2 linked regions of the Macaca mulatta genome follow. The main gene of each other region encodes a partner of the protein of the gene in region 2 in a complex. Links are inferred from orthologs where the notes say so. Each region holds a gene or a part of one and is shown on either strand. Other genes may lie near its edges.

What was found.
Region 1: the proteins of CDK6 (region 2) and CDKN2A are in contact, whole or in part, in a crystal structure (PDB 1BI7), measured with the Homo sapiens proteins. The link is inferred for Macaca mulatta from reciprocal best matches to the Homo sapiens genes CDK6 and CDKN2A. Residues at the interface, in NP_001138778.1 of Homo sapiens: Glu14, Cys15, Val16, Ala17, Glu18, Ile19, Phe28, Lys29, Arg31, Leu33, Asn35, Gly36, Gly37, Arg38, Phe39, Arg44, His100, Asp102, Gln103, Asp104, Thr106, Thr107, Asp110, Lys111, Gln149, Thr154, Ser155, Leu166, Ala167, Arg168; in NP_000068.1 of Homo sapiens: Thr18, Ala21, Arg22, Gly23, Arg24, Glu27, Asn42, Tyr44, Arg46, Gln50, Val51, Met52, Met53, Met54, Gly55, Ser56, Arg58, Asp74, Ala76, Thr77, Thr79, Asp84, Arg87, Glu88, Gly89, Phe90, Asp92, Asp108, Trp110, His123.

The regions. Positions count from the first base shown.
Region 1 is NC_133420.1:77,238,935-77,243,421, reverse strand, and holds the start of CDKN2A (cyclin-dependent kinase inhibitor 2A), read right to left. Parts: upstream 2,908-4,487; 5' UTR 2,590-2,907; coding exon 2,464-2,589; intron 1-2,463. UniProt on the Homo sapiens protein: Acts as a negative regulator of the proliferation of normal cells by interacting strongly with CDK4 and CDK6. This inhibits their ability to interact with cyclins D and to phosphorylate the retinoblastoma protein.
Region 2 is NC_133408.1:126,759,818-126,763,633, reverse strand, and holds part of CDK6 (cyclin-dependent kinase 6), read right to left. Parts: intron 2,304-3,816; coding exon 2,168-2,303; intron 1-2,167. UniProt on the Homo sapiens protein: Serine/threonine-protein kinase involved in the control of the cell cycle and differentiation; promotes G1/S transition. Phosphorylates pRB/RB1 and NPM1.

The sequences.
Region 1 (4,487 bases), on a different chromosome or scaffold from region 2:
AATAAGAATGCTAGACTAGCCCTAAAATTCCTTCCTGTGGTAGGTTGAATAAGGTCCCCCCCCCCACAAATGTCTATGTCCTGATCCTCAAAAACTGTTAATTTATTAACTTATGTAGCAAAAGAGGCTTTGCAGATGTGATTTAAGTAATGGTCTTGAGGGAGATTATCCAGAATTTTCAGGGTGGGCCCAATAGAACCCCAAGTGTTTTTATTAGAGGGTCACAGTCAGAGAGAAGATAAAAGAATGGAAGCACAGGCCACAGAGAAAATACAGGGAATATGAGCCAAGGAATTTGATGGTCACTAGAAGCTGGAAAAGACAAGGAAACAGATTGTCCCTTAGAGTTTCCCAAAGTGGACCCATTTTTGACTTCTGATCTCTAGAACTGTACTGTAAAATAATAATTTTGTTTGTTTTAGCTAACACATTTGTGGTAATTTGTAACAGCAGCAATAGGAAACGAAAAGGCTTCCCAGGTTTATGATTTGAGAGTTCATTAAACAAGAGATGGTCACCTTTTTGGTTCCTAAATCATCTTGGAAACAAAGCCATTTCCAGAGAGGAATTTTAAAATACTGTCTCCAGTCATAGCAACCTTAAAATTTGAGTGTTGCATGGTGGAAATAAACAATTTATTTTAGGATAACTGTTATTTGTTATATTAGCTTGAGGATGGTTGTGTTAAAGAGGAATTACTTATTTTTAGGTACATTTCATACTAAACACAAATTGCATAATTTGCCTAAATCAAGGAATTATACTAAATTATATTATGGTTATTAAATGCTGTCCTGAGAAAGTGAAACTGACTTAGTTTTCAAAGAGACAAAGAGAAAGTATAAGCAAACCAAATTGCAGCTACAAAAAGAAAGACAAAATGTTGCAGCATATTTATTGTTCCGTGTGTTCACTGAAGTTCTCTTCGTCTTGGTCATAAAACTAGCCTTAAAGGTTTTTATTATATTTCATAGAATGAAAAACCTAAAAAGTAACCCATATGTAAATATTTAAATCATGATATAAATCCAAAGCAAAAAGAAAATGAATTCATTGAATTAAAATGTGTAGGATGCTTAAACCCATTTGATAATAAATTGATATGAATTTAGCATTTAAAAATATTATACAAATAAGTGTTCCTATATTAAACACCAGTGTAGTTAGGATTCTAAGCCAACAACACTTCCCCTTTTCTACATGTTCTTCTCCCTTCCCCATTAAAAATTGTCAAAACTATCCACTTTTCTTTTTCCTTTTTGTTTTTAAACAAATAAGGTCTCTTCTAAGATATTTTAGGACTACAAAGCCAAATTCCCGGGTCCAAGCTGTTGGCAAAATTTTAGAGATGCTAAGTTACCCATGCATTAATTACTTTTAAATCATCCCCTAACTCCCTCACAAAACCGGAGTAGGGAGAGGAGAAACACCACTGTTCAAAAATGAGGAATTGAAAACTCTATCACAAAATAAACTATTATCAAGTAAGCTAAAGATAGCAAAACAGTAAAAATATTAGCAGATATTCCCAAAATGGTGACTACATATTACTTCTGGCACGATCACATGAATGTAGCTCATTATTTCCTAAGTTCCTACAGCAAACATGTATTTATTTGCCCTACTCAGTTAAAAATAAACACAATATGTAGTTGCTTCTGAATGCTTTTTTTTTTTTTTTATCTCTCTCTTTCTCTTTCTTTCTTTCGACAGTCTCACTCTGTCACCCAGGCTGGAGTGAAGTGGCTCCCTCTCGCTGTTCACTGCAACCTCAGCCTCCCGGGTTCAAGCGATTCTCCTGCCTCAACCTCCCGAGTAGCTGGGATTACAGGCGCCTGCCACCACCCCCCGGCTAAGTTTTGTATTTTTAGTAGAGGCGGGGTTTCACCTGTTGGCCAGGCTGGTCTCGAACTCTTAGGTGATCCCCCCGCTCCTTGAGCTCCCAAAGTGATGGGATTATAAGGCGTGAGGCACTGCGCCCGGCAGCTTCTGAATAATTTCGATCAGAAATTTATATTCGATATTTATTCCAACATACACCACAGATTTCCACTGATAATCCCTACTAGTAAGAAAGATAAACTCCATCCAGGCATCTGTGAATTGGGGGCTAAGTAGTCCCAGCACATCTTACATTTCTTTAAGACTCCCGTTTTATCTCAAACCTTCGTAAGTTTTGTATCTGATAGAGCATACTTCCATCTAATACAAATATGTTCCCCCCTTCAGATCTTCACAGCATTCGAGAGATCGGCACGCGCGTGCCTCCTCATTCCTTCCTTGGCTTCGCAAGCACCCAGGGCTTCGCCAGCAGGAGGTCTGTGATTACAAACCCCTTCTGAAAACTCCCCAGGAAGCCCTTTTTTCCAGACTCAAAGCGCTACCTGATTCCGACTCCCCTGCAAACTTCGTCCTCCAGAGTCGCCCGCCATCCCCTGCTCCCGCTGCAGACCCTCCACCCACCTGGATCGGCCTCCGACCGTAACTATTCGGTGCGTTGGGCAGCGCCCCCGCCTCGAGCAGCGCCCGCACCTCCTCTACCCGACCCCGGGCCGCAGCCGTGGCCAGCCAGTCCGCCGAAGGCTCCATGCTGCTCCCGGCTGCTCGCTCCCTGCTCTCCCACTCTCCGCAGCGGCCAAGTGCACGCGGCCGCCCCACCCTCTGGTGACCAGCCAGCCCCTCCTCTTTGTTCCTCCGGTGCTGGCGGAAGAGCCCCCTCGGCCTCTGTCCCTCAACTCCTCTGGAGGGATCGCGGTATCTTTCCAGGCAGGGGGGCGCCGTTCGCGAGTGCTTGGAGGAGGTGCTATTAACTCCGAGCACGTAGAGAATGTGGCACCCCTGAAGTCGCCCCAGGGTGGGCCTCCCCCGGGGGCACCAGCCGGAAGCAGCCCCCGCCAGAGCCAGCGTTGGCAAGGAAGGAGGACTGGGCTCCTCCTCCTCACCTGCCCCCAACACCGCCCTCCGGCCTCCCTGCTCCCAGCCGCGCTCCCCCGCCTGCCAGCAAAGGCGCGTTCGAGTGCGTTCACTCAGTTAAAAAGAAAAAAAGAAATCCCCCCGCCCCCCGCCCCGTTTCCTTCCTGCGCGGTACAACCTTCCTAACTGCCAAATTGAATCGGGGTGTTTGGTGTCATAGGGAAAGTATAGCTTCTTCTTTTAATCATAAGAAAAAGCAAAACTGTTCCTTCCTAGTTGTGAGAGCCCCACCGAGAATCGAAATCACCTGTACGACTAGAAAGTGTCCCCCTACCCCCTCAACCCTTGATTTTCGAGAGCGCGGGGTTCACTAACTCAGAAATCCTAGTTCAAAGGATTCCTTTTGGAGAGTTGGCCTACCCTCTCCTTCTCCACCCCTTCCCCTCCTACGTGTAAAATGGCTGTCTGGGGCAAGGGTTTCTCAGACGTGTACATTGCCTGGTATAACAGCAGACTCTGAAAAGATGAGGTTTATTTAATACGGGGGAGATTTCTGCCTGTAGGCAGATAGGAAAATGGAGATGGAGTCATTGGAAGGACGGACTACATTCTCAAAGTCATAATTCCTAGACCAGAAAAAGTGCTCAGTGTTCTAGAGGCAGAGTTGCACAGTGATCCAAAGACCCGCTTTACACATTGTCCTGTCTCCTACACACTCCTCACATTTCTCTTTCCTACTGAAAATACTTTGCATTTTTCTTAGTTATAAAGGGAGAAGGGAATATGAGTACCCCCTGCTTTACAGGGGTGTTGTGAGTTTAAATGAATTGTTGTATATTAATACATATAAGACTTAAGAACACTGCCACACATCCTAAACTAATACCTGTTAGCTCTTGAATTATCCGTTTTGAGGATTGGCTTGCAATCTTGTTTTGAGGCATAGAAAGAAAATGCTTTGGAGCCGGACGCGGTGGTTCACGCCTGTAATCCCAGCACTTTGGGAAGTTGAGGCGGGCAGATACCTGAGGTCAGGAGTTCGAGGCCAGCTTTGGCCGTCTGTACTAAAAATACAAAACTTAGCCGGGCGTGGTGGCGCACGTGTGTAATTCCAGCTACTCAGGAGGCTGAGGCAGGAGAATCGCTGGAACCCAGGAGGTAGAGGTTGCCGTGAGCCGAGATCGCGCCACCGCCTTCCAGCCTGGGTGACAGAATGAGACTCCGATTCAAAAAAAAAAAAAAAAAAAAAAAAAAAAAGCTTTGGATAGAATTATCACTATTATATAAAAGGAAAGGCTGGACGCGGTGGCTCACGCCTATAATCCCAGCATTCTGGGAGACTGAGACAGGAGGATCACCTGAGGTCAGGAGTTCGAGACAATCCTGACCAATATGGCGAAACCCTGTCTCTACTAAAAAATACAAAATTAGCTGGGCTTGGTGGTGCATGCCTGTGATCCCAGCTACTGGGAGGCTGATGTAGGAGAATCGCTTGAACCTAGGAGGAGGCGCAGGTTGCAGTGAGCCAAGATCGCGCCATTGCACTCCAGCCTGGGAGACAAGAGCGAAACTCG
Region 2 (3,816 bases):
TGCAGTAGCAGCAGTCTCTGTTCCCAAACTGTCCATACCTAAATTAGAATGTGTCCCTAATTTCAGTCTCATTTCCACCCCTACTTCAGGTAATCTTGTTACTCAAATCCTCCACCTCTCCTTCCACCAATGCCTCCTGCTGGGTGCCTAGCAGGTGGCAAGCACTAAATAGTGATGAGTAAGACCTCCTCATTGCCCCAGGAGTTCACAAGTAGCAGGAAAGCCACATCGGCTTCTCCATCCTAAAGTGAACTGAGTATATGAAATGTCTGTGCATTCCAGTCTTCTATGTAATTTACAGACTTTACATTATCATGGTTAATGGAAGAACTCTTCCACTTAAGAGGTCTGCATGACCATGATATTAATAGGACTCCTGCCAACAGTCCTAGTCAGGTTCCAACTGGATTAGGGACCTCTCTAATATTGCATCGAAAGCTTAAAAACAAATACAAACAGAAAGTTCTATGTGTATTTCAGGCAAATTCTTGGGTCCTCTGAAATCTGAGCTCCCCTTCAGTCCATGGTTGCTAGCCTCCCTATAGGATCTTCTGAACATCAAGAGCTAAAGGGCAAGCGGAAGAAAGAGCTTGTTTGTAGAAAGGTTCCAAGTGTCTGTTACAGCAATAAATATCTCTAGAAAAGCTTTGCAAGGGCTGAATTCCCAAAGGACTGGAGAGCAGGGGCAAAATTCCTGATCCTGAGTTCTCTTTTCCCAGAGTCCAAGAAGGAGAAAATTAGGTAATGGCATTAGGAAAGGAAGCAGCTAATTTAATCTCCAGGACATAGGAAAGAAGAGAAAAGAGCTGTGGGAATACGTTCACGATACAGAGACGTGTCTCTAGAGGATTATGTGAGAGGAAGCCCTTTCCTCACAGCTACATTGATGGCTTAAAGCTGGGAAGAGGGTGGAGAGAAGGAGAACGACTTAGCCAAATGTGGGGGTGCAGGAGAATCTCAAGTTGGAAGTCTTAATACACTTTGTCCTATAGAAATACGGTTTAAAACAGGTGTTTAAGTTCTATTATTGCTCTACTTTAGGAACAAGGTTGCCGGGTTAAGAATTAATTAAAAAACCTTGTGTTAATAATATTGTTTCTGCAAGAAAATTTAGTTTAATTGCCAAATAGTTTACTCATAAAATGAGCTTCTGGAATCACAACTTAGTCAAGAGTTAGATACTATGGTAGATCGGATAACTTTTAGTACATTCCCTCTTTTCTCTCCCCTCTCACCATAGGGGGAGCATTCTTTCCTCCATTCAAGTTGGCCTTAGGTATGGAACTTGCTTTGGCCAATGGAACATGGGCAGAGTGGCGGGTACTTCTTCCAAGTATGGACCTTCAGGGGTGTTGTATATTTCTGCTTGCCCTTTTGGAACATCCACCTTCTATCATGAGAAAAACATGCCCCAGGGAGCTGCTGCCTCTCTGGCATGGGCCCCAGAATGAGACACATGGAGAAGACCTGTGCTTCACCCATGGGCAGAAGCAGATATCAAAGGCTGTTGATTCAGGAGGTAAAGGATACACTCATTACTCATTGGGTTTCAGACATCAAGAACAGCCCAACAGCTACACTTTTCCACCTATTGTTCTGGCCTCCAGGTATAGAAAATTAAGTATATGGTCGAGTATTATGAGTCTCAAACAGAGCACAGAAGTCCTTATTTTCAGCGAGGTATTTTATATGTGCCTGGCACACTAAATACTTATTAAATAAATTAGCAACTAGAAGAAGTATTGCTATATAGTTCTTTTGGAAAAACATCTCCCCAAAGTTGTGGATATTTAACAAAAGGCACATTAAAATGACAAATTACTTAAAGTAGCATGAAACTGTAAGCAAGGAAACATAATATTTACTTCTAAATAAACATATGTCAAAGTGAATTGAGAGGCTTCTAAAGCTGCATTGAAATAAACATTCAAAGATGGCAGATTTAAAAAAATGTGGATCAGAAAGACATTCCAGAATCAAAAGCCACCAGCTGCTACAAGTGTGAAAATGAAACCTCTGGAGGGACTGTCGCCTCCTGCCCCACGTGGCTGTGGCACGTGATGCCGATAGCAGCTACTGAACTGATATTTGTGACTACCACCCAGTCTGGGTAGGGCAGGTGTCTCACTGGCACAGTGCAGACCAGTTTGACATCACAAAAACTTACCAGAAGTAGGTCTTTGCCTAGTTCATCGATATCTGTTACAAACTTCTCAATTGGTTGGGCAGATTTTGAATGAAAAGCCTGCCTGGGAAGGGCAACATCTCTAGGCCAGTCTTCTTCTCCTGGGAGTCCAATTACGCTACAAAAGAACCACACATAGACATGAACATTAGCTGCTATGCAGAAGCTGTTTTCTTATCAATTTCCAGAGAAAGGCAAAATCTAAGGGGGAGGCATGGGGGAGACAGTCCCAGGAGACCTTCACTTTATGACTGGCAGGGTCTCTGTTTATCTCTGTCCTACCGCAATATGGTGTCATGGGGTAGAGGGTAATCTCACAGAAGAATTGTAAAATTCACTGGGAGGAGATAAGAGATTGCTCTGGTAGCAGACACTAAATGTAAGGGGTGATGTAGAAATAGAAAATATATTGCCAGGCAGTAAGCCCTGACTTAGTGACAAAGCAGGACTTATTGTATTCAGAGGAGACCCATACTAGTATATACATTTCTTAATGTCCAAGAATGCTTTCTGTGTTTTGATCGAACGTCCCAGTATTGGCATGATTTTTATGATGCTCATCCAACATGGTTTATTAACATATCAATTTGGTTGCATTTTTGGTTAAAGAGTAATTCCCTAAATATTAAATATATACATTAGAATCAGAAGGAAAAATGACGCTAAAACGTTTGTTAGTCCTGCATTATTCAAACACGATTTTATAAAAGGAGGTCTGTGGTATTCCAAAGTGAGCAAACAGTAAATTAAAAGACTATTATTTATATTTCCCCTGAAAACCATTCTGGGATCAGAAATGTGGAAAGAACAGTAAGTGATAAAAAGCACAGGCTTTGGAAATAGGCAGGCTTGGGTTCAAATCCTGCACCTGCCACTTACTGGCAGGTAAGGACAAATTACTTAACATCTATGACCCTTAGTGTCTTTATGTATACAATGATAATAACTTACAGTTGTAATGAGGATCAGTTATACTTTATTTAAATTTATAGTAATATATAAATTTATAATTTAAAGTATATAGCACAGCACCTGATACACATTACACACAGTCAATATCAATCAATACATTGTCAATTATTATTATAGTTAGAAAATGTTGTTATTCATCCAAGATGCATAGGAAATACATCACTATCACACTTAAAATATGAACTGCTTATATCCTATTTATGTATAACTTAATATTCTTTAAAAATATTAATAGGTCAATGGACTTACATAACTTATATATTGTATAGACATTATTTATAGTTCACATATAGGTCATAAGTAGGTTTGAACAGAGAAAATCAGAGGATGCAGGGACTTCTTTCCCATACAGACTGTATAACTCTGAACTAAAAATAAAATCATAGTTTAGTGGACGGGTTATATAGCTATTCAAATACTGGACCAAATAATGTTTTTTTTTTTTGAGATGGAGTCTCGCTCTGCCGCCCAGGCTGGAGTGCAGTGGCACAATCTCGGCTCACTGCAAGCTCCACTTCCCGTGTTCACGCCATTCTCCTGCCTCAGCCTCCTGAGTAGCCGGGACTACAGGCGACCGCCACCACACCTGACTAATTTTTTGTGTTTTTAGTAGAGACGGGGTTTTACCGTGTTAGCCAGGATGGTCTCAATCTCCTGAC